2 linked regions of the Coturnix japonica genome follow. The protein of the gene in region 2 purifies or fractionates together with the protein of the main gene of each other region. This does not show direct contact. Links are inferred from orthologs where the notes say so. Each region holds a gene or a part of one and is shown on either strand. Other genes may lie near its edges.

What was found. The genes of interacting proteins can lie anywhere in the genome.
Region 1: the proteins of UBXN7 (region 2) and NPLOC4 purify together in Homo sapiens (affinity purification with mass spectrometry; 3 studies listed by BioGRID and IntAct, with this or other methods). This does not show direct contact. The link is inferred for Coturnix japonica from reciprocal best matches to the Homo sapiens genes UBXN7 and NPLOC4.

What each region holds. Positions count from the first base shown.
Region 1 is NC_029533.1:5,192,919-5,198,197, forward strand, and holds part of NPLOC4 (nuclear protein localization protein 4 homolog), read right to left. Parts: intron 4,997-5,279; coding exon 4,817-4,996; intron 3,630-4,816; coding exon 3,543-3,629; intron 1,920-3,542; coding exon 1,848-1,919; intron 1,173-1,847; coding exon 1,046-1,172; intron 1-1,045. UniProt on the Homo sapiens protein: The ternary complex containing UFD1, VCP and NPLOC4 binds ubiquitinated proteins and is necessary for the export of misfolded proteins from the ER to the cytoplasm, where they are degraded by the proteasome.
Region 2 is NC_029524.1:3,592,606-3,598,714, reverse strand, and holds the start of UBXN7 (UBX domain-containing protein 7), read right to left. Parts: upstream 3,756-6,109; 5' UTR 3,720-3,755; coding exon 3,647-3,719; intron 2,605-3,646; exon of another isoform or gene 1,460-2,604; coding exon 1,312-1,459; intron 554-1,311; coding exon 486-553; intron 1-485. Other genes in the region: E3 ubiquitin-protein ligase RNF168, read right to left, coding at 5,669-6,109. UniProt on the Homo sapiens protein: Ubiquitin-binding adapter that links a subset of NEDD8-associated cullin ring ligases (CRLs) to the segregase VCP/p97, to regulate turnover of their ubiquitination substrates.

The DNA of each region.
Region 1 (5,279 bases), on a different chromosome or scaffold from region 2:
GAAGGCCTGGACAAAGCCAGCCATCATTTGCTCAAGAAAACGCTTTGTTTAAACAAAGAAAAAAATAAATAAAATAAACGAGTGAGATACACATTTATGTTTAAAGGAAGACTGATGTGTTCAGCAGCCTGGAATGCAGGACAGCTGCCTGATTGCATGGCTCTGTTAACTGTGGGAGCATTCTCACTAAAAAAGGCTTGAAAAACACTTAATCTGAGCTTGGAAGTGGCAATATAATATCACACTTTGAGTTTTCATATTGGATGCTGTTTGGAAGTCATGGTTTTTTTTCACTGTGCTGAACAGACCCAGGACCCAGTGTATCTGCTCGGGGAAACGTTAAGTGAATACATGTGTGTCATCCCACAGACACAAAGAAGAACAGATTGAACTTCTAATGCTTCTAATGCTACAACTCTCCCAGCACATGCCAGCATCACCCTGCAGCCCATCACCTTCAGAGACTTGCTGTGATGGTGGCTAAAATCAGAGGTGACAAAGCAAAGCATAGCGCAGGCTTCTGTTTTACTGGGGCAACCAAAAAACATCTCCATGCACAGAAGAGCAGGGAATCCTATGTTAAGAGTTTCCCTGTCGGCAGCACAAGGGGGGAGACAGAGATCCCCCCTTTATGCTGAATCACCTAGAATAACTTTCAGGATTTGGATTGTTGTGGTTCTGCACTGCTGCTTTCAGGCAACAGGACTTGGAGATTAAACACGTGAAACAAAAAAAAGCAATTGACAGATATTCCCTCAGCTGCAGGCAAAAAATGCTTTCTGGAGCAGAGAGGCGGGTGCTCCAGGTATGAGCATCAACTGAGATTCCTGCAGGGGACAGGGTAAATAGTTGAAAAGAAGATAACACAAAGAAGGAACAAAAATGTATTTTACTTGATGGAACAAGGCAAAGCCCTTGTTAAATAGGACAGATGGGGACCAAGACAACTGACTTCCTCTGGCAGAGCTGCATATTCCTCTTCCATTAACAAAAGATCATTTGTGTGTAATCAAGAGAGCTGGGGCAAGCTGAAACCTGTTTATACCTGTAGCCACAACTGTGACAAACTTGGATCCGAAATGACCGTCTGGAGAAAGGCGACAGATGTTGGGGTGCTGGTTCTGAAAGTTCCCAGCTGTGATGCACTCTTCTGCACTCAGATAATAAGTGTCCTGAGGGAAGAGCAGAAACGTCAATAAAAAGGCCAACACGATGCAGCCTAGACCCATTTCCCTGGTCTGTAGCCAAGGAAAACTACCAACACCCTAGTAAAACAAGCTTTCCTAGAAGCAGCAGAGACTAAGAATGTGACTTATCAGCTCTCCAGCCATCAGCCTGACTTTTGCCAGAACGACCATCCCACTTTTGGTTCCACCCACCTTTCCAGGCTCATTTTATTATGGTGTTTCATTTTCTAAAGGGATATCCCTGATTTCAGAATTACAGGTAACTGAGAAGGTCAGAGTTTCAGGACTCGAGCTACATGCCTCACAAAGCCCTGCCCACATCCTCTGACTCAACCACTTCTGCTTGCTGAACTTGCATGACACAGAAACTCTCTCTCCACTCAATTTTTCTTAAACCACGAGCATAATTTTCTTAAAGCAGAACAGGTGAAGGACTGCAGGCAGCTCTGCCATCTATCCAAACAGCAACAACCCCTCTAACGGTGCTCTTAGAGCTCCAGCTCCTTTTCCTTCAGCAGCTGAAACCCACACATCACAACAATTTCAGCCCCAGTGTCACCCCCAGCCCTTGACTCCCTGTGTTGGGCAGAGCCAGCAATCAGGTGATGAGACAAACCCTCGATACGAGTGGTGGTGATGAGTGACACCTTTCAGTCTCACCTTGTTCCTGCTGTACCGAACAGTGCCTTTCCGTGTGTCTTCAGAGACCAGATCAGTAAATATCCAGCCAACCTATAAAGCAGCGTTATGGAGAAAACTGCTTTAAAAAAAAGAAGGGAAAAAAAAAAGGAAGCCCAAACCCACAGAAGAGAGCTTATACATTTTCTCCTAGCAGGACAAGATGTTCTTGGCTCCTGGCGCAGCCTTGCTGCATGCTGCCTGAAGGAAATGGCTCTCCCAGCTGTGCTGGGCTCATTTGAATACGATTTCCAGGAGCAGCGTGCCAGCTGGCCAGCCGGGGGCACCTGCAGCTTTATGTTTCACTATGGAATATTTTTTCATGGAAAGATCTGGAGGCTGCAAGAGGTTTCTCAGCCGCTACCTCCTCCCACCCACAGCAAAAAGCATTTCCTATCGAGCATTCAGAGCAAAGCAGCATCAGAAGTGCCAGCAGATGACAAAGCAGCTCACATGATCTCATTTTGAAGCCTGCAGTCCCTAGTTAAGATAAAGCTCACATGCTCCCACTGGAGTGTGACTCAATCCAAATCAACCCGCTCCGTTCCAAAAAATACATTCCTGCTTTTTGCATTGTTTGCACATAGGACTATAGATGTGTACACACACACGCACCGCTGCATGAACCCTTCTACACGTGTGCTAAAAACAGCTCTGATCAGCCCCTCGTGACTGACTCCCAAAGCATTAACCCTTCAGGGGAAGGGTCAATGCTGCAGACCCCAGACAGACAAAAACCTGCACCCAGCAGTAAGCTGCGTGTTAAATCACATTGATTAAAAATATCTGGCGTGAGAAGCAAAGTTAAAGGATGGAAATAAACAACGCATACAGAAGCTTTGGTTCAGACACTGGAAAATGCTAAAGATCTTATCTTCAGAGAACAAAAGACCTCACCACAGATGTTTATAGTCTGCTGCACCGAGTCTCTTCTGATTTGCATGTTCTTTAGCAAGTCAATTCTTGTTTGTGTACGTCTCATTCCTAGCATTCACATGATACCAAATGATTTCCCAAACCACAAAAATATATCGGTACAGGTTTGAGAGACGTCAGCAAGCCAGCAGAGCCCAGTGCCTGTATGCCCTGATTGGATTACTGGCAGGCCACGGGCACATGGGGAACAGAGGACTGAGGCTCAGATGCTGGGGGACCTGAACCTCCAGCCAACATCCAGATTAGCTCGCCACAGCCTGTCTGAGCAGCACTGAGAGGCAGGACCTGCTGATGAGAATAAAAATCCAGCAGGAGCCTCCGCTCCTGGAAGCGGAACGCAGATTCTGCCAGAAGGAGGAATAAACTCAGAAGGCAACTCCAGCTACAGCTGTGCCAAATTAGCACTTGCTGGGGAGATGCTACTAGGAACAGCTCCTGTCAGAGGAGAAATAAAGGGAAAATAGTGGTTTTTTTCCTTCTTTGCTATTCTCTTTGATGTCACTCATGACAGAGGATTGCTGACTGCAGCTGAACAGCCCTGAATGCTCATCCTCACAAAAACATTTGTGGTTGCTTTTTTTCTTTCTTTAATAGACCTAGAAGGGTAAGAGCTACCAACACTTAAGCTAGATTTCATATGAACCCAAATGGTCTTCAGGAGCCCCACTGAGCTGAAGAGAACTGCTGGTGACTTTCTTCACTGCCATACAAAAGACACGTGATATCCAGCACCATCCTAACCTTTCTCAGTCCAAGCTTGGCAGCAATCTCATCCACAACCTCTGCTTTCGGATCTTCCAGGATCTCCAGGCTGTTCTGTGTACCGATCTGCACAAAGAAAATCTTGCTAGTAAAACAGAACAGGAAAATACACAGCACACGTAACCATCACCATGAGAAAGGCAGGGAATGGAAGAGCAGTTCTGCATTTTCCTTCAGCATTAGCTCTGACAGCTCTCACTCCAGAGACCTCTGTTACTCACAGCCTCATCCTGCAGGAGCTCTCCGGGTGGGCCTGCAAACCACGCAGGGGTTTATGAATGAAAGACTCTTGCTCAGCACTTACAAACAGGCTATCGCTGCTTCTGAGAGCTTTGGAAAAGGCAAGAGATTATATAATTTTCCAAAGCTCTCTTCAACCTGCCAGTCCTGCCCTGCCCTTTCATTTGTTGCAGTCTCTGAGCAGTACAGAGGCAGAAGTTCAGGGAATTCAGGGGCTGCCACGCAGGCCTGGAAAACACAACTCCATCTGAGTGTGCTTCAGAGGCGAGTTTTCTCATGTGGGGAGATGCTCTGCCAAGAAGCACAGCAGAGACTGCTTGCCAGCAAAGCAAAACTTCCTTGCTTTTGCTATGCACAAATAAACTACACAAACTTCCAAAGTGAGAATTTAACAGCAAGACCAAAACAGAGGGCATGGCTGCGTGGGTATTTGAAATAAGTAGAAGAGCTCACAAAAGGCTCTGTCTGCAGCTCTGTAACTCAGAGCTCAGCTTTTGGGCTGGCTGAGGTTGGACTCCAGAACCTGCCGGGGCTGTGGAAGCACTTGGTGGTGCCGTGCACCATCTAGTGGGGACTCAGCTGCTCCCACTCTGAGGTACCAATGTTACCCAATAAAGCAGAAGATGTGATTTCTGTCTACATAAGCTGCTTTAAGTTTTCCTGGAGAGCTGGTAAGAAATTAAAGCAAAGGCTAACCATTTTTTTGTTAGCATATAATTTGTTTTTCAATCGTACCATAACCTTGGAAATGGTAATCAGAGAACAGAGGAACATAAAAGATGATGCAAGAATAATAAAAAGCTAACCTGGGTTTTAACATTCTTTCAGTGGCAATAACTAGTGATGACATTAGCAACCAGAGGGCCATAAAAGTCATTCTCGTGGGACTTTTTTTCCTTATAGAGCTGCACTAGGAAACCCTGCATGAGATTACCCAAACAGAAAAGTGTTTCTTTGTTCCCCGATTATCTTTATGAGTCAACAGTGACGCCTGGGTACACAGCTTGTATTACCTGTGGGGGTTCATAGATGGCAGCCACCTCCGCCCTGATCCCCAGAGGGATGTCTTTGTGCTCCGTGTACCGTCCATACAAATACCCAAGATGTTGGTTTCCTGTCTTCCGCCAGAAGTCGAGGAAGCGATCTGCAATTGTGTGGTTCTCAAACATGATGTTGTCAACATGCCTGTATTTCTGTTTGACAAAGTTCAAGCGTCAGGCCATCCTCCACTGGGTCCAGCTCCTTCACCTATTGCCAACACCTTCCCCAGCTGCCCGGGATGCACGCAGCCCCTTACAGCTGAACCATGGTACCACAGGAATGGGGAATGCTGCCTCCCTCCCCTCTGCTTCAGCTTTCACCACCACTCTTTGGCCCAGCAAGCAGAACTCACCATGGGCTGGGCTGTGGGGAAGTGCTGAGCATCCCCAGAATCCCCTTAGCTTGGCTTCTTTACTAGGGCCCTTATCCCATGAG
Region 2 (6,109 bases):
AAATTCCAAAAGGAGAAACTGAGAAAATGACAAGCAATCACGCAGCTCAACCCTTCTTTCTGGATCTCCTCAACAAACACGCATTTTTGTTCTCTCCATTTTCACTTGTCAGCCAAATCCCAAGCTTTCACCCTATCAGTCTGAACATTTTTGCAGCAGCATCACATGGTTCTGAGCCCCAAGAGCACAGATGTATACTCTGTATTGCTAACTGGCTGGTGCCTAGAGAAGTCCTCTGAAAAACGAGTTAGCAAATTAACACCACTGGGAATACAGCATCTCTAATGCGTAAGGTTTTAATCATCAGTATATTTCCAAGCATGCAGGCATGTTAGATGGCTGAAGAGCTGCAATAAGGCAAAAACACAAACAAAAAGAGGCACACTGCTTTCCTCGTGTTCACGAGATTTTGTTTTTCTCATCATATGAAGATGATTTCAAGGTATTTAAAGAAAACAAAGAATGAAATAGGAATGCAAGCCTACCTCCAAACAAGGGCTCAGGCTCTACTAAAATTTCCTGTTTCTGTGGAATTGGAGCTCGTACTTCATCCCTATCAAAGAGAAAAGGAAAATCAGAGACAGTAATGTTTAAGTATTAAATAAACCATGAAATGTTGTGTTCCAAATGCACCTGCAGCCTGGACCAGCTAAGGACACTGCTGCACCATGGCACAGAATCAGAGATCTGGAGTCAAAACAGACCTCAAGGAATCCTCTACTCCTACTCAAGGCACTGAAGGAGGATGCAGCACATTATGCATTAAGATCTAGCACTTTCTGCACTTTGGTTTCAAACAGTAACTTGTACAACCAGCAAGATGCACTAACCTTACTACTAGCCTCCACATCTTTTGATTGCTGTTGTGAAGCTATTTATTCTCCATTTTGTATTTGCATACTTATTTTCCTCTCTTCCTAGAAGTAAAACTAAGCTGACCAGCACCTGAAGGGTGTCCAGTATAAAAAGGAAAGTATTCCAACAAAAACTTGAATATTAAGTTACTGATGTGCCAGAAGATCCCACTTTTCACTGGATCCTCACTTCAATGACTCGAGCTATGCCTGCAACAACAGCATGTGCATGCAATGGAAAACTTCTGAAGCACACTCAAGAGAGACCAGCTTGTGCAGCAAGATAAACTTATTTATTAAGAAAAATATCAAAGCAATCAATTAAATGAGATCATTGAAGAAGCACATGTTACACTGAGATGACAGAAGGTCCAAAGAAAGAACAAGTGTTTTAACTGATCTGTCTTTACACTATGAAACTTATAGGACAGACTACTCATTTTTATGCAGTACGTACTCGGTGTGTGGTCGAACTGCAGACACTGCTGCAGAGCTGGTGCTGGGCTCCTCTGCTATGCCTCCACCATCCAGAAACATGGTGACAGCCATCTCCAGGTTGTTGTTGCATGCTTCAAGCATATGTTTTCCCACGCTTTCACTGGCACCTGCAATGCCAAGCAAATATATATTGAAGCATTCTTTGTAAAGCATTCTGATCAGAAGCAACGGGAACAGCTAACCAGCTTTCTCTTTTAAGGCACTGACCATTAGAGCAGTTGAGCAGGTGCCATTTATCCCTAAGGCACAACTATGAGGTGAGACAAACACGCACCTCAAGGGAAAAGGAAACAACAGCCACACTTCCCCTTTCCATCGGGAGAAAATTCTGCTTATTAAGTTTGACTTCTATTGTGTTATATGGAAAAAAACAAAACAACCAACTGATTTAATATTTTAACAGTGAGAATACTATACCCAGTGCCAAAGGTTTTTACCCACCTCTAACAGATATGTAAAGATAGAAACTAAAGATTCCCTGTTTCACTGAGTGCTCCAGAAGGCAAAAACAAACAAGCAGAAGCTCAGTTAATTGTTAGTTGTTCTCCCTTACAGGGTCTGCCTCTAAAGCTTCCTCAAAGCCACACAGACAACAAAAGCACCTTCACCAAATGAATCTCTCCTGCATCCAACCTTTTAAGAGCCCATTTACTACACTAAGTTTCTATAGGTAGAGGCTGCCAAAGAGTCTATTTTAATATGGAAAAGCTGGTGTAGAAGAAAAGTGGCAAAATGCAGCCGAACCAGTTTGGGAGCAGCTTTTGGTCTGTAATAATTCTTACCAGCTTCACCACAACTCACTGAAATGAAGAAAACTCCATTTCCCCAGCATCAGAATGACAGCTAACGCCACTCTGAGCAAACACATTTAACCTGCTTCCATTGGGTGTCTCTGAGATTTTCCAGGAAGTCCTCGGAGCTTTAGATTAAACAGATTGATACGCTGAACACACACTGAGTCTGCTGAGATAAAGCAACACTAAATGACCTGAGCTATTACATTACATCACAAAGAAAGCCAGGTCGACCAAAGTAACTGCTTTTCCAAACAAACCCACTGCAAACCAACCTGCCACAAGAGCACCTCAGTGGTACTTGGCTGTGCTTGAGGACCTTAATCAAAATAGAAGAGCACAGCCACCCTGCGCTGCTCATTCAGGAGGACCAGAATATATATGTACCAAATCTTCCTCAGTCCTAAGGAAACCAGCATCACAAAACATCTGCTGAGAACTATATTTGAGGACTATGGGTGAGTAGGCATGGGCTGACAGCTCTATTTGATGTTTATATTGTCTTTTCCAAGCGCAGTGACTCTGTGATTCTACACCATCAGGTGTGCTGGAAGCAGATGGCAGGATGGGTTTTGTTTCACCTTTTCCACACAAACATGGGTAGCTCTGCGCACTTACACAGCACCACAGGGCTTGGAGCATCCAGTGTACACCCCTGGGAAAGCAGGGTCACACCAGAGGTGCAGGCTGACGACACAGGGTGTGTAGTGCAGCACCTGTCACTGCGCCACAGGGTCAGACAGCTCCGCAAGAACTCCCTTCTAAACAGAACCTTACATCCTATTACAACAACAAGACAGAACCTCAAACCCCTCTTTCAGAAGTGGGCGGGCAGAGCCCAGTAGCCTCTTGTTTTCTTGTTTCGGAGCGTAGGAGCAGGGTTAGACATCTCCATAACCCACCTACACGAGCAGAGGGCTGCTGGGCGAACAGCACAGCTCTGCTTGGCTCTCAGTGCTTGGGGCACTGCTGAGAATGAAAACATCAGACACACACCGGGGCACGCTGTAAGCACAGACACATCTTTCATACTAGCGAGGGTCCTGTCAGCAGATCCCACGCCCCGTAACCCCGCAGCATTGCGGTGTGCAGGTGCCGTCCCGCTCGCTGCCCGCAGCACGCCCCGTGTCCAGGCCGCATCCCGCTGCTGAGCGCGGTACCGACCCCGCGATGCTCCGCACGGTCACTTCCAGAGGACGCTGCTCAGCGATGCGGGCCCTTATCCCAGCCGTGGTGCCGGCCGCCGTCCCGCTCTCCGAACCGCTGTCGGTCCGGCGGGTCTTGCTGCCCGACGCTCCGGAGCCGCGTTTCCCGGGGCGGGCTCCGCGCCCACCCGCCGCCCCGCTGACAGGCCCGGCCCCCCGCCCCGCCGGGCCCCCGCCTCACCGCGCCCGGCCCTCCTCCTCCTCCTCCTCCTCCACCTCCTCCTCCATCCCGGCCGCTCGACGAAGCGAGAAGCGGCTCGGAGCCGCGCCGGGCCCGGCCTTCCGTGTGCCTCACCCGTGATGGCGGTGAACTGCTGGATTAACCCTTTCAGCGCCGCGGAGGCCGCCGAGCCCCCGTGCGCCGCCATCTTGCCGCCGCCGCACAACAACACGCACGCCGCCGGCCCGCGCGCACTGCGCAAGCGCGAAACCCGCCCGCGCCCTTCCTCGGCCCCGCCGTGCGGGGCGGGGCGGCATGGCGGGAACCGGGCTGTGTGAGGGGGGGGTGAGGGGGAACGGGCACCAGAGGGACGGGCATCGAGTTACTAACAAGTGAAAAATCAAACGGATACAGCAAGTGGGATGATTTAAGACGGGGTTGGATTGAGACTTAGGCACAAAACTCGGCTTGTTCTGGAAATAGAGTTTACTTATTGCATGCTCATCGTGACAGGAAAAGTATGTTAAGCACAGAAGGCAGTCAGTACTTCTGCCTTGAAGAACACTGTAATCAACAACGGATTCCATCTGATTGCCTGGGTGACAGGAAAGCAAACTGAAATAAGGATTACACAGAAAGGGGTCGATAACAAACAGGCTTCCAGCGCTACGACTGAGGCAGCAATGGGAGATAATGAACTATTTGCAGCAGGTCACCTGTAATAGCTTTCTCAAGAAGGCTCTTTGAATTCTCCACTTATTGAGGAGGAACCCAACGTTAGCAGAGATGTGCCATCAAGGTGACGTGAAAAACATCTGTTACAAGTTTCCTAGAGCTGAGTTCAAGTCTACGGATCATCCACAACACCTCAAAGTGCACTTTCTTGAACGTCTGCTATTCAGCAAAGGGCACACGGGTTTCAGCTGCTGTTCTGCACTCATCCAACAACATACACTTGAGAAATATATCGCTGCATCCAAAGAAAAGCCAAAAGCTGGGCTCCACAATAGCAAAATAGAGAACTATGTAACAGGGCCGCTACCTGCTGACTAGCAGCTCACAAACTGCTCCCAAGGCCTCAACTTGGAGCTGTCAGCTCCACAGAACATCCAAACTGAAATTCTTTTGAATTATTTTACTATCAAACTCAACTGGAAGACAGAAAATAATAACAACGGAGCAACAGTTACAGCCAGGCAGAGCAGCTGAACGCCAGCTGGAAGTTAAATACAGTCAATACTGTTAACTCGAATGGCTTTTCCCCCTTTTGGTTTTACTTTCTCCAACATAACTGTCTCCTGCACTAATAATTTTTGAATATTAGGTGCTTAGAATCAGACTCGAGTCAGTTTGCACATGAAAGTTAAATAGCAGTAAATGCAGGCAAGACTGTGTAAGTTACAGGCTGCCAACAACAAGAAAACAAAAATGAACAGAAGTAAATGCGAGCCCACAACCATTTCTGCCATTGGCATCTATGAGAGATCCCTGCCTCTGACTGTGGAAGAATGATCCTTTCTTTCCCCTTTGCCTAAGAAAGGGGTTACTCTGTGAGAGGATGCGAGAGAGGGAAAATGCCTTTGCAAGACTAGCTTATCTGGTTACAATCCTGTTAACTGCCAGGCAAACAATGCAATTCAACAAATAAACCACATTCCAGTCACGTCCTTCAGTTTAACACAACCCTTTGGTTTAACAGAACAGTGCCTGTGCCTCGTAAAGCCTCAGTCTCACAGTCAGACAACCAGAGATACAGACACACTTCTTTGCTTCCTCTGGGGATTACACAGTCCCCACCAAAGGCTCTGAATTCTCGTTCTAGGACCATCAGTTACTTTGAATCTCAAACAATAACAGTATTTACTTTCCAGCGTGAAAAAAAAACCAACAAAAAAACAGCTTGAAAATGCAAGTCCTAGAAAAGAAGCTATAGTCGAGAAAGGACTAAATATTAAGGTCTAGAGGAGTAAGGTGTTTAAACTTCTCAACAACATTCACAGTACATTTTAATAGTCAGTTTTGGTCACTCTTGCGGCCCAACCCTCAAAACCATCAATTCCGTAACTTTTTTAATTGAAGCCTGGCCTGACACAGGGATAAACATTACCATGGTTTTCATTCCGATTAACGTAACCGTGTGCCTGTGGTTCTGCTGTTCTACTCAGGGCTTTTAAGCATCTGAAGGATTGTCTTTTGTCTTCTCTTAGGCACTGAATGAACATCATTTGAATCATTGGTGTTAACAACACAATTCAAGACTTTCCCACTGCTGGGTGATTTCATTCGGACCCTGGTAGGAGACTGCCAGTTTTCATCGCAAGAACCTTTCCGACCCTTGTGGTGATTTGTTTCACTCTGCTTTTTCGATTGTTTTGAGTCCTTTGCCATCTTAGAACTTCCTTTTCTAGAAGAGTCTTTCACAGATTGAGGTGTTTTGGCACGAAGAAGGTATTCATCTGGAGATCCTTTCTGTCGGTTAAGTAACCTCTCCTCCTTGTTGAACTGCCTTTGCAGCTGCAGAGCCAGCAGCCTGTCCTGCTCCTCTTGCACGCGCCTTTCATGGAGCTCCTGCTCAAAAGCTTTCTGCATTTGCAAATA